Drosophila melanogaster: one gene and its partner. The protein of the gene in region 2 interacts with the protein of the main gene of each other region in a pairwise test. Each region holds a gene or a part of one and is shown on either strand. Other genes may lie near its edges.

Region 1 (10,197 bases), on a different chromosome or scaffold from region 2:
GTCACTGGCAAAAAGAAGAGCGTAATCCAGACAGAGAGCGAGAGAACGAGCGTGAGCGAGAGAGCAGCATCGTGCGAGAGAGAGAGCAAAAATCCTTGTGCTGGCACTTTTCTTTACAAATTTTCTTAATATATCCTTTTGTTGTTGCTTTCTTCTTGTTGTTGTTGGTGGCAGGCCAATGCAACAGGTAAAATAGAGAAAATATGGAAAAAAAACAGAACCAAAACAGAAACACCGAAAACGAAACAGGCAAAAGGGCAAACACAAAAACAAAAAAAATAAAGAAAACAAAACACAAACTTTGTCAGCACTTGAAAAAAAAATCGTTTTCGTTTCTAATTTTCTCTTTGTTGAACGCGCGCCATTTTTCTTCTTGCCTTTCTTCGAGAAGGTTTTTTCTTAAATAGACTCTTTTGTAATTATTTAAATTAAATTGCTGTTGTTTTTTTTTTTATTTTGCTGGCGAGAGCCGCGGTTTTCGAACTGCGACGGCGCGCCTTTGGAAACCAACTGAAAAAAAAAACACAGCAATCAGAGAGCGAGAGAGGATGAGAGAAAGAGCGAGAGAGAGAGCGGCGACGTCAGCGCGAGACACGTATGTCGTTTAAGTCTTTCGTTTTGGTCGTTCTTGTTCTTGCTGCTGCTGCGTTGGCGCAAGCGAGAGAGAGAGAGAGAGGGAGAGAGAGCTGAATTTCAGGTGTGGCAACCGGCAAAATCACAAAAAAAATCTTATTTTATCCAAGTACACAAGAGACAGAGCGAACGATGGAACGACACGGGGCGAAACATCATTATGACCTGTCCAGAACTTAATGAGAACAGAGTTTTACATATGAAGACTACTTGTTTCTGGTTTTTGCATATTGGTTTTCGGCCTATATATATATATGTAGCTTAGAGATATACTATGTATGCAAGGCAGAGCCTAAGAATATAACTCCATCAATCGGAATTGAAATAACTAATTAGAAGAATCAGAAAGCTAACAGAAGCACTTTTATCTATTCAAAACGAAAACGTAGTCATAATATCGTTGGAGTTTCATACCTTTTTACTACCAAATCGTTTGATTGTTAAATGGAACGCAATTTATTTTATTGTCTAATGTAAAAGATAAGTTATCAACAAATTACATTGATGGATAATCTTTGAAGTAACACGTGTCACAAGAAATGTGATTTAAAATATTAAAATAAAAATGAAATGAAATGACTTGAAACATTTAACATATATGCAGGTTCCTTTAATCACCCCACTACAGAAACTGGAAATTTTTGAATAATCCCAATAAAATTGATCTGTGAAAAGATCTCTTGTGGTTTGTAGATTCGTGGTAGATTTGTTATAGATTTGTAATAGTTTTAGGCGCATGGCATGGATCGGATTCTTGGCTCTGTTTCTTCTCTTCTTATCTCTCTCACTGGCTCTCTGTTGAAAATCGGGTCGCTGCTTAGTTATTCCGCACAGGTGTGAGTGTGTCTGTAGGTGTGTGCGTGATACCTGTTTGTCCGCACACACACACACACATACGTACACAAACAGAAGAAACAGTCATCATCATCGTCTAAGCCAAGTTGCCTCTTTTCACCTTTCCTTTGGCCATTCAATTCCGCTCTCGCTCTCCCTCTCGTCCCCTCTCTTTCGCGCCCGCCTTCATCGGGCGGGAGTGGGAGGGAGAGGGCTAATGTCGCAAGTAGCCGAGATTCGATTCTTCTTCTACGCTGCCTTTTGAGCTCGCTTCCTAATCCATTAACATTTCTCTATCCCTCTCTCCCTTTCTCCTACTCTCTTTCTCGCTCTGTCTCTTTAGCCCTGTCTTCTTCCTCTTCTTCGCCTTCTATGGGCTCGGATAATTCTTCTTCTATCTTCACCATTAAATGATGACGACGCACTCGCAAGAGAAGAAAAACCCAATAAAAAAAAAAAATAATAAATAAGTCCGACTTCAAAGACTTTTATTAAAATTCAATCAATCAATCGCAAAAATGACAGTTCGATCTTCGCAATGATGAATGGATGGTTTTGAATCTAAAATCTTTGCCTTATCACCCACACTCTCATAATTATTTATCTATTTAAATATGCCATCGTTCAAAAATTTCCATAAATATACATTTTATTATTCCGTTTTTAAATTTTTTTTATTTTACAAAAGTACGTACGTATATACGATTCTGTATTATCGTATTACCCTATATAAAATAGTCACATAAATACCTATATTTATGATTCATGATTTAAAAGTGAATTAAAACACGTTTTAGCAAAATGAAATCATCTTCAAGCAAGATCATACCGTGATTTTGTATACTTCTGAAGAAGAGATCTGATTAAAACGTCAGTGATAAAAGGGCTTATTCTAGACGCCGAAAACCCATCAAAATTGATGACCAATGTTGGTGACAGATAATTTCTTTGTGCGACGTTGGCCATATAAATAATGTGTGTATTTTTTATTTATTTACTTTTTTTTTGCCACGCTCAACGATCAGCAGCGACAACAATTTAGAAAATTAGTTGCACACTCAACGAAACTCGTTCCATTGGCTTTCTAACCGGCAATGAGGCAAGCAGATCAGCGGTACAGTTGGCGGGGCGGCTAAGGGGGCTTAATTTTTGTAAGCGGCCGGGGGGGGGGGGGTGTGTTGGTGTTTCGATGGGGGCTTACAAGGGGGTGGCGAGTGGGCCAACTCTCCCATTACATCTGCATATGTGGCATGCAATTGGATCTGCCTGGCATATTCCAGATTGCCATTCAATTCGATTTGTGTTGTGTGGAGTAAGCGAAAAGCGAAGGAAAAAACCGAGAGCCGACATGGTGAATTCTCGAGCGGGGTAACCAGTTAAAAATGGGAGCTAGAGCTGGCCTCCAGTTACTGGCGGGGGGGGCGATAACTGGCGTGGAATATCTTCGAAATTGCTCGATGTCTCGTATTCATATGCATTAACAACCGCTGCTTGCTAGAACTTGCGAATCTCTCAAGTTCCAGAAACCAACAATTTCATAGATATTATCACACCAGCTGGTTAACTTTTTTAACTGTTCCTATGTTAAATTACTAATCTATGTCAATTTGAAACCGTATTTGGGTATATTTAATATGCTGAACTGAAGACACTTCGTGAAATCTTTGAAAACTATTGTTTACTCTCAAGTTTACAGTTTTCAATGAAGTTATTATGCGTGTTTGAACTTGAACTATCATGCTGTCACTTCCGATTTCGTCAATTGTTTTCGTTACCAATTCATTTTTTTTTTTTTTTTTCGTTGGCAACACCTCTGGCCAATTTGCTCGCCTGGACTTTTCCAAGCCAGTCAAATTTGCACTCGAAGTGGAAAACTTTCGACTGTGAGTGTTTCGGTCGGTTGTTGTGGCAAATATATAAATTTGTGAAATTGTCAGTGCCACAAGCAGAGATGATTTACCGCCCCGGGGGCTATGCCAGCGACTCATTTATCAAGCAAAAAATAAAGAAACCCGAAAATGAAGAGAGTTCTAAGTTGCGACTGGGAAACTTTCACCGGGTGTCGTTTCAACGCGGTGCGGCAATAAAAGGGGGGAGGGGGGACCACATTTTTTTTTGCAACTCTCGCACTTGAGAATCTCGGCCGGGGAATGGGGGGAAATGCTAGCAAATCATATTTTTGGTGAGGGCGGGATTGGCGGTTGGGGGTGTGGGATTTAGTTGGTCTCAAAGTCTCTGGGCTTTATCCTGGCCAAGCCGAGTCATAAACAAATACGGTTTGCTGCTGTTTTGTTTACATTCGCAGTGTTTGGTGCCCACCGACCGACGTCTTTTGGCCAGGGGTCTTTTGGTCTCTTGGCCAGACTGGTTTTTCTCCGGCCAAAAAAGGAAGTTGCTCGTAAAGTGGCGAAAGCCGCCAACTGACTGACCCAACAACAAAGTGTGCAAAATAAAAATTGCAAGAAGAAAAATCGTTAAATAAAATAATAAAAGCGCTTTCTTTCTGTCTGCCCCTTTTGTTTTTTCTTTGTGTGTGTGTTGTGTGTTTGTTTTCTTTCTATAAATTTTTGCGGTCTGCGTTTCTTCGATTCAACTATTTTCCATATTTTTCTATTTGATATTTTGGCAATTTTGGCGATTTTCACTGATTGGTTTTTAATTTTTGCATTTTTCGGTTTCTGTTGGTGGCACAGCAAAAAAAAAAAAAAGGGAAGAAGATCGAAATATTTACCGCCGCACTCACTCGAAAAAAAAACTCGTAACACTCAATTGGAATTTAATCGGCAGGTTGGCCTTTCTTTCTTTCTTTCTATCTTTCAGTTTACTGTTGTTGTCGGCTCCGATATTCTTGTCACTCTGTTCTGGCTGCCCACACGCTGGACGTATCTGTTGTGGGCCTGGGATTCGGGTTCGGATCAGAGTCACTATCGCACTGTCACTACAGTTGGTTACTTATTAGCCGCGCTGGCTGACCGTTCACGACGACGCTCCGCGAGCGACTGACCAGCGGATGCTAGCGCAGCCCACTCGCCGCCCAACCAAAACCGAAGGCATCGAACCTTCGAACCATCGAACCATCGAACATGTTGCGTTGCAGCCGCTACTCACAGGCAGTGCGACTTCAAACAGAGGCGCCGCTTTCGAGAGCGAAAGAATTGCATTGGTATGCTCATGACTGCCCAAGGAGCTTGCTTCATCATCAAACCAATTCATTATTATTATTTAGTTCTTATTATTGAGATTATTGTACATACTTAATAGCAAGTAATAGTTCTACTAAAATGCTAGCTTCATTTTATTTGAGAACTCCGCAGCTTCGGAGTGCACATTTCTTTGTTCTCTGCTCTGCGTTTAAGTTCTAATACTATTTAGTTACGCTGCAATTCCTAATAGCCCCCATCTACACCTCTGATGCAACATCGATTCCATGGCAAGGCTATGTTCGAGCGTGCAACATGCAGCATGTTGTGTTTTCATTCGAACAATTGTTGCTGCCACAGTGCGTGTTGGTGGTTCTAATTGACAGTTTTCCAGAACAACTTGTTGAGCTTATTGTTGTCTTAATGGGGTGCTTATCTACACCTGCCACCCCCCCCCCTCCCAGACTTTTGCTTGCCTCGCGGATTATTGGAGGACAATTCCACCCCCCCCCCCCCCCACGTCACACTCTTACACTCTCTCTATCTCACTCTCTGTCCGGGTAAATTGACGATTTGAATATTTACATAAACGATTCTGATTACAATTGAATTTATTATTTAGAGCAGCTACTTAAGCCGCTAAGTCGTTGGGTACATAGGACATACATACATACATACATACATGCATATGTGTATTCATTTGTCGGCTGTCGCTTGACAAATGATACCTTTTCATGGAACTTTTATTTGTTTATTTTGCTTTCTGGAAGGCACAATCTGCGGCACGCCGAGAATATTGAGTAAACACACAATTGCTGCTTGCCACGTGCAACGTGCTCGATGCTGGCAGCGAACGCGGTTCGAGTTGCAAGCCCCTTCAACAGGTTGCCAGGTTGCTCTACGAAAATAATGTAAGCTCCTTTACAAGTCCGTACGAAAATTAATTCAATACTCGGCTAAAAATAAACGCACTTGTTCTCAAGTACAAGCTTACACTCACACACATATGAAACGGAACCTAAGTAAATCCCATTGTTTTGGTTTTAGAACTGAGCAGGAGAATTTTGAAGAAGTTCTTCAATATTTACTCCCAAGAATTCGAGTGTATCCAAACTATTCGAATAGGGCCTTCTTCCGCGAAAAAAATCGCTTTAATTGCAGAGCAAGTCAGTCACCAGCCAAATGAACAGCTGTTTCGGCTCCTAAAAACTTTTGCCTGACCGCCTGCTGGCCGTTCCGCATTCTTGGAAGCGGAATTGAACAATTTGAGATTTTCGAAGGGGAAAAGCTGTTTCGCCTATCAGGTGGCCAAGTAGAAAGATATATACATTTCCAATCCAGTGCTGCGGAGACATCACCGAACGCTCTACGAGCTATAGGAAAATTCTCTATTGCGTCTTAATGGATTCACAAAACATTCTCGTTTAGACATATTTCGCAGTGAAAGGTGATAGGGCCAAGAAAAACAATTGGCCGAAACCGAAATGCGAAGTAAACTTTTCATGCACAAAAACCAAAGCGTGCAATTCTTATATTTATATTTACCCAGAGATTCTCGCGCGTTTTATGACGAGGGTCATTTGGGGAAAGCGTGACCCGGCCGAAAATAAACAAAATAAATTTATTAACCATCTCCAAAGTTTAAACAGCCGTAGAGCATGTTCTCGAGTGGGGGGCAGTGCGCCAAGGTTGCACACTTGATCGCAATTCAAATAAATGACTGGCTTACACAAATTATATGCGAACTTATTAACTTAAGCCAATACATCAAAATATGTTTAAATATTATATCAAAAATAATAAAGTTTTTATTTCAAGAAATTCCCCACCAACCATAACATTTCCTAAGTTATTTATTGAATAATCAGAAACCACGTAGATATTAACTATACGTACTAATCGTGTTGTTAATCTCGAAATTGGTTTAACTATTGTTCCGGATATGTAACTGGATGCAACGGATATGATATAAGGTAAATTATTTGGGTGAGCCCAAGTGCATGTGAGTAATTGGAAAAGTTTGACACGTTAACACGACACAAGTTGGTTAACTGATGTTATATTTTTTCAACAAGCTATTTTCCACGTAACCCAGGGGAAAAATAACCTTTGCTTAGCAAAAAAAACGGAAATCCGTTTAAAAATAAAGCTTAAACGACCACAGCTTTTAGCCAGCATTTCACTCTGGTTTATTGGTTTAAGCCAAAATAAACCTATAATATCGACTTTTAACAGCTTCAAAAAGCTAACACTTTTAAGCTTTAAGCTTTTGCAGAAAGCAGTGTTACTGTGACTTGGGAAAGTGACCGTTAAAAGCTTTTCTATTTCCTTCAACAACTTCTGTTAAGCCAAAAGAGCTTTTCCGAAAAATGTTACACCAATGTTAATGTAAGGAAATCGTTTTCTTTATTTAATCATTGTATTCTTAAGTCTACTGTAAGTAATCGTTTTAATTAGTAATTTTAATTTCTGTTGTGGATTCCATTCCGCGTCTCCTGCGTTTTTGCTTTCTTACTTTTCTTTTCTTTTTTTTTGTTACTTTTGCTTTAGTTTAGTAATAATATTCATTATAAGATACGAGTAATCTCAAACACAATAGAGACAGTTACAGAGCGACACACACATTTTAATTATATTATTATTGCTAAGACACAAGAAATAACGATTTTGAAATAAATGCTAACAAAAAAAAAATTAGAAAGAGTGCCAGCCCGGTTTTTTTTTTCAAACCGTGCCTTTCCAAAATTTCTTCTTTTGTGGTTTGCTTATTTTGAATATAAGGATTGTGGTTCACGATTATTTATTTGGCGGGTACAATAGATTTACAAATGGAGTTTTATGAGATTCTGGAAAACCTTTTGCTAAATACAATAATTTCCCTCGAATTTCTGCAATGGCTGACACAACTTTTCTTACATTTATCTCCGATTTTTGGCAAACATAATGGCGAACTACGAGTACGACTAGTATTTTTTATTCATTTTCATCTCAGCTTCACCTACAAATTATATGTATAGAATATAATCTGCAATATATAGGTATATCTGTATATATTTCATTAAGTATATTTAATATTTAAAACTCTTTGTAACATTTAATAAAGTTAAACATTGATTGCTCTTGCGTTGTGACAATAAGTTACTATATAATCATATAATCAATCTGTCATTATGTATACATATAGCTCATTTCTATAAATATATCTTTTACATCCTTGCATTCTCATCATCATTTTTGCCATCATCATCCAAATTCTCCATCATCTCGTGTTGATTATCCTTGACTATGTTTAATAATAAAAAAATTCTCTAGTTTTGTTTTACACACATCTTTTGTATTTTTCCTTCGTCGTCCAGCGACATTTTGCTCAGGTCAAATTAGAGGAAAGGGAAATTTTTAGTTACGGGTCTCTTTAATTCTCCACCCATTTCATATTGAAAATTGGGGCATTTTCCTTCATTTTCCTGGAGTGCTAAGAAGACGCAAACTCGTTTCCGGTTCGAATAGAGGAACACAGAGAGTAAATTAAATATTCGAGTATTTTGTTATGTACATTCTAAATATATTTATGACGAGGACATATATCCTATGTTTATGTGTACACTCTATGAGAAACAACAACATCGAGACTTATATAAAAGAAAACTTCAACGACTTGAGAGTGCGGCGATCTCTTCAATTCATATTTCCATTTTTAATCAAGGGTGCAAAAATAATACCCAAATCTTTTGTAAATATAAACCTAAATTAATTACATTTTTCCTATAATTTTATAGAGAAGAAAATAAAACAAATTGTGCAATATTAGCAAATTTAAAAAACCAATTATATGTGCACTAAAAAAAAGAAGGAACAAGTACTGTTTGCAAAATATGAATGAATACTTTCAGATGATTTTTAAACGAGACAGTTTTTCCAAATATTCGATTTCATCGAATTGCACTACGTTACATGCCACACACACACAAAAGCCGAAATAAAATTGAAGAAATCATCAAATTCTCAAGTTGTTCGTCATGTATGTAGTAGTATTATTATTATTAATTGGGGTTATTGGATTTCGGGCCTGGTCTACTCGAACTAAAGGCTGGCTGACCTGCTGGGCTGGGCAAGCAGCCAGCCCAGTTCAAAAATAGTTGAATTTCCACATCGTTTTATTGCTGGTTTGGCGATAAATCGTTTTGCTCTTAGCCTAGATTTCATTTTCATTGTTTAGTTAGTTTTCACTAATGTTTTAATGTTGCTTGGTTTTTTTTGCTTGATTTTTGTTTTTAGGTACCATGGTATATTTGTCAATTCTTTTCAATTTTGATTGCGCTGGTTGATTGAATCAATCAGGGTTAAATGGTAACTGGTAAATGGAAAAACGAGCTAGTTCGAAAAGCACCTGAGGATTTCCACTTTCTAATTGCATTGGATTCTGTTCTATAGGTAAATAGTCTGTGGGATTGTACATATATATATTAGTTAGTTTTCATTTTGGTGGTTTTCTTTCATGCGGTGGTTCACGACGGTTCTACACAACATCCAAAAAAAAAAAAAAATGAGGAGTAACTAGGTCCTAAGTAAATAGTTATTTTTTAAGTCGCTCTTTTTCCACTTTTTTCGTTCTCGCTAGTTATTCACTAATATATCAATTCCTGAATATACAATATATTGATTTAATTTCATGTGTTTTTTTGTTTTATTTTATAAACTGATTACATTGAGTTGCGTGTTCACTTGAAATCGATTGATAATGGAACCTGTGGAGAGAAAGTAGATTTTATTATCTTAGGTGATTTCATTTAGGAAAAAATATTTTTAAAAATCTAAAAACTTATAATTGCAAATCAAAAGTGGCAAGTGTTTCAATTCATCATGGTCTAGTAAAATAATTTAAACCATTTAAATGATAGAATCTAAAATCTGGCCACCAAGTTAATTGCAGATATAAATCGTTAATAATTTACGGCCAGCTGTCAGAAACTGTGCTCACTCCACTAAAGGACACTCGGTTATTTCAGACCATTAATTTTGCCCTACATGATTATGATCATGGTGCTTAGCGAGGACCAAGCGATGTTTGTTTGTCCCGCACATTTTGCAAATCAAATGGCCGCCGGCAGTTAGCTTAACGCAATTCAGTTGGCAATGGCAATTGCATTTTGATTTTCTATAATTAGTTTGCCGGGGCGCCGGCCAAGTGGCCAGGATGGGAATGCAAACTAACACGCGTTTCAATTAAACGATGCCCACATTAAATTAGCCTTATTGAGCGGACTGCAGGGTGGGCGTGGCCAATGGGGGGCATGGACAAGCCATTAAAAACACGAGGAAGATGATCCTTGCTCCATGGCATTGGCAATGGTGCAGTTGTTTGCTGCGGAATATTACTCATACGCCACGTTGGCCGCATTAGAAAGATGCTGGGTTCAGGGTTATGCGGCAAATAGCCTTGCAGCGTCCTTGGCCCCCATTTTCCTCCACACCCACCCCCTCTCACTTTAGTGTCCTTGAGCCAAAGCTGCATTTCATTATGTGCGTAGGTTCTGTGTGTGTGTGTTTTTATGTTTAGCTGCCCGGCAGTGGGATTATTAAAAATGCACAC
Region 2 (10,197 bases):
CGAGCGACAACTGTGCTCATTTATCAGCTGCCGGCCAACTCAAAAGCTCCGCTGCGCACGGAAAGCTTTCGCTTGCGATCAGCTGTTTTTGCAGCTTTGCCTTTTGCGCCCGCCATTCGCGTATGTAAACAACATAGCGAAAATTGCTGTAATTGCATGTTTTTGTCGCCAAATGTTGCGTATTCGCACTGATAGCACCGCACCCAAGTTCATAGTACGTATACGCTCAATTGGCGCTGATTGCCGGCTGGCATATCGGCATCGAAATCAGAGCGCTATGTGCACAACATCATGATTTGGGGTCGTCGTTGTCAAGTTCATCAGTGAATCGAATGCACAAACATGGGTTTGAAAGTCGAAGGGTTATGATTATTGCTCACAGATTAGGTCGCCACTCGGAAACAGCTCTGCTCCACTGGCAATCAAATCGTTTCAAAGCATTTCCATTCCATCTGGCTTATTCCACATATTAGTTATTATTAAGCGTGTGATGTGTATCTTAATTGTCATGCAAGAAAAACATAAATAAATAATGAATGTTTCTTTGTGGAAGTTGTTCTTGTAAATTTTACAACAAATGCCACATAATATTACCCTTATCTTTATCGGGATATTCAAAAACGTTTGCGATTGCGCAGGCGATAAGAAACACCAATAAAAGGGCACGTAACTACCAAATAAACTTAATAGTTTTATTTAACCAGCTCTGTTATCTATAACGTGTAATCTTTGAAAGTTTTCCTAGACTTAAAATTTTTCATTAAAATGCAATGCAACAAAGTGCAAAGAGCAAGTGCAAGGCTAGCTATTAACTTAAACAATTCATACTGGACTGGTCGTGAAGAAGTGATGAAAAAATGATGGGGCCAGCAGGCCTTAAAACTTAACAGCAAGGCCATTGTCGAAAGAAGATCATTCCTTTCCAACAACAAGGCTTATAGGACGGAGCTGGAAACACTCTCGATGACCTCAAACGCATTGTCTATTTCCGAACTCTCCAGCAAACGGTTGACAGCAATGCGAATGCTGGGACGGACTGGTTGGCGTTCCCTGTTCTGCAGGTAGGCAGCCTGTACCACAGCCACTCCACGAGCAATGCACTGGGAAAAGTGAGTAGAAATGTATAGTTTTCATAATTGCATGGGGAAATAAAATGCCTACCTTATCAGCCAGCTCTGTTAGAAGTTTCAGTTCCTTGTCAAAGTTCTCGGCGGGCTGGGCAAGATACAAGTGCTTCACTGGTGACACCTCATCGCCGCGCAGGGTTAGCTTGCTGAATCGCAAAAACTTCTGGTGCAACGTCTTAGACTTTGCCTGCAGCTGCTCGAAGATTTGTGGTTCTCGTTCGAAACGATCCAACGCTGAAATAGCCGCCTGGGTGAGCATGGGCGGCAGCGAGGCCGAGAAGATGTAGCCCAAGCCAGAGAGGCGCTGGTGCTCGGCTATGAAGTGCGAGCCAACACAGAAGCCACCGACTGTTGCCATCGAACCCTCCATGCCGGCCGATATCAGATCGACTTCATCACGCTAAAAGAAAAATACCAGTTATAATTTTAGTTTTTCTTTCCGGTTTACCACCTACATCGACATTAAAGTGCTCCGTAACTCCGTGACCACCCTGGCCCAATGTGCCAAAGGAGATGCTTTCGTCGATGAACAAACGCAGCTTGTACTTCTGACGCAAGGCCACCAGGTCGGGAAGTGGGCAAATCTCGCCCGTATTCATATAGATACCCTCGGCGACGAGGAAGCGACGTGTCTTAGCCGCCTTTTTCGGATTTTTCTGGTCTCGTTTTTCTTGCTCAATCAGCAGACGTTCTAGATCCTCAACGTCATTGTGCTTAAAGAAAACGATTGTGCTTCGTGAAGCATCCAGACCCTTCTGAATGGCAAAGTTGACAGCCTCATCCCTACAAATAACAAGTAATTAGTCGCCAATCTGAGTAGGTGAAGTAGACAATCCTACACAAAGATAAGGTCGCCACGTTTGGCATACGCCGGAATGGCACTGGCCACGGTCGAGAAGCCGTAGGAATAGACAATGGCCTCCTCCAGGCCCATGAACTTGGCAATACGATCCTCCAGGTCCAGATGCACGTCCATAGTGCCGTAGAAGCCCCGAGGTCCGCAAGATCCAACTCCGTACTTGCGCAGCGACTTGCAGGCCTCCTCCAGTATCTCCTGGTCCTCGAGGAAGCCAAGATAGTTGTGAGAGCCAAGATTTAGGCAGTCGTGTCCATCGACCTGGATGCGCTTGCCCACCCTGGACTGCACAACGCGGGTGTGCAGCAGGGGATGATTGGGATCGGTGTCGGCCACCAAGGGCTCTGGTTCATAGTCGGCGATTATTCGGTCTTCCTCCTCCTTGGTCAGCTGTCGGCGACGACCTCCTCCTCGTCTGTGGAGCAGCAACCAAATCACGGTTATGAGCAGTAGGGTCTCCAAGACGAGAGCAAACGTGGGGGTCTGTGGAAGGAGTAGAAACTGGAGTAAGCTAAATGTGGTGAAAAAGGCGAATGCAAACTTACGTTTCGGAAAATACTGCCGATTTCGTTGAACAATTGGATGGCCACCATTTTGACAGTCTGGTTCCGTGCCCTTTCTGTGAAAAATCAATTGAAACCGCCTTAATTCCCTGAAGTTATGTGTCATCTAGCCGACGCTTTCTTATCGCGGGTATGCCCCATACATATGTAGAATTGAAGCATTCGACCATACGGTACGGAAATCTTTTCAATTGGGTGTGTATGCTGACATAGGCTAATTGCCAGTGGGCGAAAAATGTGCAACCACGCCCTTCTCCAACATTCTCTTACATTAAATATCCATTTAAATCGAGCACTCACCACAAAACTCAGTTAACTATAGGCAAAATGCGTGAAATATCCGCCGAAACAGATGGATGAACGAATGTACTAAAAAATACCAATACGCGGATATCTTTAAGATGTGCGCCAAATTGGCGGCGATGGAGGAACAGTGGAATATGGAACTAGGGGACGTTTTTATTTATTTTTTGTTATTCAAAAACCTGGTCCTGTCGACCTGTCCCGCCCACCTGCCCCACCGACCTGTCCCGCCGATCTGACCCACCGACCTGTTCCGCTGACGTGTCCCACTGACCTGTCCCACCGAGCTGACTCGCTAACAACAAAATACAACAAGTTACAACAGATTTTAAATTTTTATTAAAAATTACCTAGATTTTATCAATATTTTTATGATACTGAACTCAAATAAACTTGCTACGTAACGGTTCTTTTCTAGTTATCATTTCAAATATATGATCGATTACTATTTTATATCGATAGGCAGAGCAGCGATCGCAGTGTGACCGTGCGGTGGGAAATAACGAAATCGAATTCAATTCAAACCGCCGATCCATTCAGTTTCCATTGAACTGCTGCTGCGATCGGTCAACCGATGTGAATGAGCCGCGTTACTGGCGCCATCTGAAATTCGAGTTCGCGAGATAAAAACCGCGAGAAGACAAAGAACACCGCAAAAAGCCGATGTAAACAAAGAGATATAGTTAGTTCTGCATTTTGCAAGAAAACTTTATCACATTACACGCGAATCGAAACGGATACTTGTATGTGCACAAAGTGAAATCAGCTGGACAACAAGAGTATTTTGCAATTGCCTTGGTTTATTTTCAGCCACTTGCGGCTGTCGTTTTCTGTGAAATTAACACTTTTTTCTATTGGCAGTGATGGGAAGTGTATATTTGGGTGTACCTGGCTGGTAGTCTAGATACAACAATTTACGCTATGTGTCGCGATCTAGTCTAGGTACAAGTATTCACTCTTCCTTGCAAATGTCCTTGTTTTAATATATAGTAAATTCTATTGCATTTCATATAATTATTTACTATTTACCTATATCACTATTCAATTAGACCCAAGGAAATACTTCTTTCAAAGTCACGATTGTATTTAAAATATACATAATCATTTTTATCAAGTTCCATTTCGTCTTAAATTACAATATTATTAAATAATTGCCAACTGATACTGATGAACTATACTATGTAGCTACCAATCAAAGTACCTTTCACATCACTATCTATCAATCAAATAGTTATAGTTAGCATTGCCCATGCGATAATGGCAAACCGAAATAGCGCAAAGAAAAGCCACTTCCTATTTCTCTTGAACTTGATGCGCTCGAATGAAGCTACCATGTCTACACCATGCCCACTTTCGCAGATAAATCGAGCAATGCACCCGACTAACTCCATGACACAATTGATGCATCCCAGCGCAGTATTTCCTCGATTAGGTATTTTCGCTTTTACCCGCTTTTTGCAATGCGCAATAAGTATCTCTTGGTGTGTGCGAAAATCGGTGGAGCAACCAGTTTTCGAGCTGCATTTTGACGTTGGCTTTTCTTTTACGTAACTCGCTGGCCGGGCACGAGCCAAAAACCAAAATAAATATCAATAATAAACACGGCGCCGCGCCAACCCAGTTAGTGGTTTTCACTTCACTTCACCTCACATCACATCACTTTACTTCTTCTTCTTTGCGGGACCTACCAATTCGGTCCGGCTTGCTCCACTAAGCCGGTAGCCAGCACGTTCCATTATCGCACACATCCCATCCGGAATACTAATGGACGGACATGGTGTACCTTTGAGGAAATGTATATGTAGTTGGTTCATGACGATCCATAGTTCGTTGGCCAAGTGAACCCGTCGTATCGGAAATCACCGCTTTGTGCACAGCCAAGTTAAAACGGTCGAGTTCAATGGAAATTGCCTGATTTCGAATTCCACACAGTTTAGTTAGGTGCTGGAGTGCCGATTCTGCCGCCTAAAGTGCCAAATATTCAAAGTGAACTATCAGAAGCAACCATGATGAGTGGCCAGCCACTTGGCTCGAGGGTTTGGCTGTTGTCCGGAGTGCTATTAGTGACATTTGCTGGGACAGATGCCTACGGATTTGGACGTTGCCCGAATTATCCATCGATGCCAAAGTTTAACATGAGTCGGGTAAGTTAGTTGCTGGTTTTCTCATACATACTCTACAAACTCTAACTAAAATTGCTACATATTTCGATCGCTATTTTATTAACAGCCTGTTTGGGTGTTGTAAATATTCATACAGACATTTGTTTGCAGTCTATATATACATATTTGCAATTGGCTTTATTAAACCACCTTTCAAACCTGTTACTAAAGATCTGTGTCTATTGACCCACTGAGTAACACCAGTTATAAGATTACAAAGAATTTATGAGTATGAAAATAACTATGAGTATGAATATATGAGAACTGTTTGTCCTTACAACAACGAGATGCATTGTATAACTGGCCACTCATCGCCTGTCTATTTGCCATCGTCTTAAACGTGTCACATCTTCGATTAATTGGCACAAGGCGTCTGGCGCAGACGAAGACCCCTCTTTACATCTTGGGGATTGTGCAGATGATGAACTTGAACCATTTTAAGGCCACCAAATCCGATCCGCCGTGTAAAATGCAAACCAGTTTTACAGAAGGAGGCGAGCGGCACAAAAGCTTTATGGCCTGCTGATGGTAAACAAGCCACTTATTTTATAAAGAAGTAAATCAACCAGTACCAATGCTGAGACATGGGCACGCCAAGGACAACAAAGTGCACTACAGTGGAACATTCCTGGTGCGAACATTTCGCTATTACAGCCAATATTTCAATCAAGTAATTATGGAATCATCTTGCCAAACCACCGATATGACATCACAAATGTGAAACTAATGTTTTTCGAAAGAGAAAATTAGAAAATTGGTTTCAGGTGGCTGTAAAAAGATTGTTTCAAAGTATTTCTGAGAATCCATAAATGGACTTTGTTTAGTACTCATAAATGCACGTAGTTGTTTTAAGCTATAAAAGCCGACGACTGTTCGCTTAGATACACTGTCGAGATCATGGATAGAAAATTGGAACAATCACTTAAGCAGCTCAAATTAAATTGATTGAGCCTTGATTTGCATAAAAGATAATGCACCATAATTGCCCGGTTGAGGTGGAGGCATTGTCACTCACATTATGTGGGTCTAGCGACCTCCTCTCCACTTCCACTTCCACTTCCAAATGGCACATCATCCAATTGAGTTGTTGACAGGCGTAAATTAAGCCATTTGCCACCGGCCCCGCCCCCTAAACGCACTTTTGACCCGGGGCAAAGACCTCGACTGGCCAGCAGTGGCTCTTTAATGCGATGCGGCGCCCACCGCCGACTTTGAACTGCAAGATGAGCAGCGGCCAAAAGAGCGGCTCTTCTCAATGACCAGCAGCCACAACCGAGTCTATAACCAGTTTCAAAAATGTTTACGTTTTACGCATTGTTTGCGCTAAGTGGCATTTTGATTAGTAACCCAGTTAAGTGTTTCTTGGCCGAGAGAAACGCTGCGTGACAAAGGTTTTGGCTTTCAGACTGATGGTTATCAGGTGATTCTACTTCCAATAAAACCCTTCAGATTTAATGAAGTAATTGGAATATGTAGAAGAATTTCCATTCACTGAAACAACTTACTTAAGAACTTAAGAACATGTTGAAAAGGAAGTAAAAATATCTATTTTATGTAATGTCATTATCTTGTAGGTCCTTGGACACTGGTACGAGGTAGAGCGCTCTTTTTACCTTCCGGAAATCGCCTCCGGATGCACCACCTTTCAGTTTGAGCCGTACAACAAGGGCGAACAATCGAAGTTTTCCAATTTCAAGCTGGCTGTGGCCATTAAAAACATTAATCGCATGTATGATTAAATAATCTAATAATATATATTGTGTGTTAGAAGTGTTTGTCCTTTTTAGAACTGGTAATCCGAATGTGAACATTGGCTATGCAACACCAGAAAACAGCCGATCCTCCATCATGGATTTTAAGGTATCTACAATAAATAATATTAACAACACACAATATACACAATTCCTTTTTCCTAGTTTACCACCCGATTTCCGGACGTGATTGCCCGACTACTGCCAGGTTCCGGAAAGTACCAGGTGCTATACACAGACTACGAGAACTTCGCCATCTTGTGGTCCTGCGGCAGCATTGGCTCACTGGGTCACTCCGATCAGATCTGGATTCTTGGACGTGATCGGGACTTCGAGGTGGATATCCGATCCAAAGTGTACGACGTGTTGAAGCGGCTCTCTCTGGATCCGGAAAGGCTCATCATCAGCAAAAACAAACAATGCCCCGAGGCGCTGTAGGAAGCTCCTCCAGCGTCTCATCCCCCATCTATATGTTTAAGTTCATTCGGTTAAGGAACAAATTACATTTGATGCCTAATCAATTAGGCTGCTGTGATATCGAGGAGTGTGAATCGGCGGAGAGAGGCGAAGCAACGCAAATACAGAAACAAAAAACAAGAGTAACTCGATCGAGGTTTTCAATATATGAACTCATGCCCGCATTGCCAATTAACGCGGGTGTCCTAATTAATTTGCAATAAATAGAATTTCCCAGTCATCGGAACTTAGTCGTGATTTACCAACGGATTGAAAAGGTTCTGGCCGGATAAGATGTCCCGACTGTGGATTTTGTTTTGTCTGATTTTCCTTGTGGCCCAGGCACATATGTCCGATGCGAGAGGAGGTGGAGGCGGAGGAGGACACGGAGGAGGCGGTCATGCTGGAGGTTTCGGAGGTGGCGGCCGCGGAGGCGGATTCGGAGGAGGAAGAGGTGGTTTTGGAAGAGGCGGCTTTGGAGGACGTGGTCCAGGATTCGGTCGTGGCGGTTTCGGTGGACCAGGCCGCGGAGGCTTTAGAGGAGGCGGCTTTCGAGGCTATGGAGGATATGGCGGATATGGCGGATATGCCCGATATGGCGGCTACGCTGGATACGCGGGAGTTCTTCCGGTTCCTCTTCCCGTACCCTATCCCGCAACCTATAATCGCTGCTACTACGATAATTACTATTATAATTACTACTACTGCTGATATGATACGGTTATAGATGGTTTATTTATACAAATTACAATCAACACGTTGCTTTAGTTACAAAGATTATGTAAAGTTACCCAGAAATTCGGGCTGTAGACAGTTCTCTAAATATTCCATATCTCATTTAACTTATTGTTTTGATGGTCTCCGGTGTCTGGTTCCTGTTTGTCCACCCAGTGATCAGCGATCAGTGATCAGCGATCTTTGTGGAGTGCGACTGCGATGGCAGTGCTTAAGCCTAGTCAAAAATATTCCCATTAAAATGCAATCTACATATGCGCATATATATATAAACTTAATCTACAGACTAGATATGGATACGAGACGTTGATGATGCGTTCGTTGTGGCAGACTATTCGATCGAGATCGAGAGATCAGAGGGTATAAGTGTATCAAAATAGTTTCTGTATCGATTAAAGAAAGTTATGTGAGGAAGCATCGAATGAAAGACTTGGTAACGGAGCTATCTCTTAAAGATATGGAGTTGTCATTTATACTAACTTAATCACAAACCAGATGCCCCTCTGATCTCACCTTGTGCAAAATTGAATTCAATATGCATAAGAGCTGGGGAGACTCAAAAAAGATAGTCAAGGAATGCCACCTTTATGCAATTCAGAACTATTTTATATGACCTAAACCAAAAGCGGCAATGCTGAGATACACAACTAAAGATCCAAAAGCTTATTATCAAGTGTTAAGATGATGGCATTCCCTTCTATTGTTTTTCCACCCAACCTGGCGTATTCATGCGCTTCTATTGCTTGCCCCCAAGGACAACGGACGATCGTTCTGTTCGACAAGGATTATTTCATTCACTTCTCCGGCAATCCCCTAGAGCATTGCCTTGCACTCGCTCTCGGCGATGCTGTGCTGGATGCAGTGGTTGATCTCGGCGAAGCCAGGTCGCTCACTGGGCTTGCGGTTCCAGCAGCGACGCATCAGCGCGTAGACGGAGAGCGGCGTGTTGTCCGGACAGCCGAGTACGTTGCCCTCCTTGATGTATTTGATCACCTCCTCGTGGGTTAACCCAAAGTAGGGCTGCAAGGCGAAGGAGAAGACCTCCCACAGACAGATGCCGTATGCCCACACATCCGACTCAAGCGAGAACTTGTTGTACAGTATGCTCTCAAGTGGCATCCAGCGGATCGGGATGAAGTCGTTCTCATCGCCTTTGTAATAGTCCTGCAAATAGATCTTGTGCGAGAGCCCAAAGTCGGCGATCTTTACCGCCATGTGCTCGTTGATCAGGCAATTCCTGGTGGCCAAATCCCGGTGGACGAATTTTCTCTCCGAAAGATACAGCATGCCCGCTGCAATGTTGGCCGCCATCTGCAGCAGATGTAGCTCGTTCAACTGCAGACGATCCTGTGTCGGCGCCTGGTGTGTGGCATATGGGGAGCAGGCGCGCAAGAACTCGCTTAGATCGCCAGGAGCCATGTACTCGAAGAGCAGGCACATGGGTCTGCCCAAGGCGCACACCCCCAGCAGCCTCACGATATTGGGATGATCGAACTCGGCCAGCAAACAGGCCTCGCGCTCGAAATCCATCTGCATCTGGTCGCTGGCGTCGTCCTTTAGCATCTTAACAGCGACTAGTAGATCTTCCTGATCGGGAACAAGTCCAGGAGCCCTGGCCTGGAAGACGCGACCGAAGGCTCCTTGACCCAATGATCTCACATACACTATATCCCCGCGTGGGTACTCCAACTTCTCCAGGCGTGCATTCGGTTTCGTGCCCTTCGCATCAGACACATTGGTCACCGTAGTAAGGGCCACGCAATTGCTGTGTATTGTGGCCGTGCTCCTGATGGTGCCCCATTTTGCCAAGGTGTTCGTGTTTCCATTGCCTCCGAGGGTTTCTCTACTGGTGTTCAGATTGCCGCCACAATCTCCTCCTCCACGCATGGAAACACTGCATTCGGCAGTGGCTGCTCCCGCAGGCTGAGAGTAATCCTTGTGCTTGGACAACTTATAGACTAGCAATATCATCAAGTGCAGGGTCACAATGGCCACGAAACCTATTCCAGCCAAGAGAAAGATCATCGATGGCGTGAAGAACTTCTCCATCTTGATGGGCGTGTTCAAATCGACAGCATTGGGGTCCACATAATCCGCTAAAACAGAAGTGGGTGAATTACAAAAAGTAAAAGAGGAAAAAATTTTATGATCTTACGACACATGGGTATATCGCAGTGCTGCCAGCGCACTGATTCATCCACAGTGTAGCACCAGGGATGCGGCTCCTCACCGCCAGCATTCCGG

The links. The genes of interacting proteins can lie anywhere in the genome.
Region 1: the proteins of Spt-I (region 2) and mgl interact in a two-hybrid assay, tested with the Drosophila melanogaster proteins (one large-scale study listed by BioGRID).

Annotation. Positions count from the first base shown.
Region 1 is NC_004354.4:9,495,676-9,505,872, forward strand, and holds the start of mgl (megalin), read right to left. Parts: upstream 4,455-10,197; 5' UTR 4,199-4,454; intron 515-4,198; exon of another isoform or gene 301-514; intron 225-300; exon of another isoform or gene 1-224.
Region 2 is NT_033778.4:13,161,220-13,171,416, reverse strand, and holds Spt-I (serine palmitoyltransferase subunit I), read right to left. Parts: upstream 2,920-10,197; 5' UTR 2,847-2,919; exon of another isoform or gene 2,603-2,846; 5' UTR 2,577-2,602; coding exon 2,529-2,576; exon of another isoform or gene 2,467-2,528; coding exon 1,967-2,466; exon of another isoform or gene 1,911-1,966; coding exon 1,583-1,910; exon of another isoform or gene 1,528-1,582; coding exon 1,162-1,527; intron 1,110-1,161; exon of another isoform or gene 1,101-1,109; coding exon 936-1,100; 3' UTR 673-935; downstream 1-672. Other genes in the region: GLaz (glial lazarillo), read left to right, coding at 4,856-4,993, 6,586-6,740, 6,799-6,871, 6,928-7,200; CG15870 (uncharacterized protein), read left to right, coding at 7,574-7,945; Nrk (neurospecific receptor kinase), read right to left, coding at 8,767-10,049, 10,109-10,197.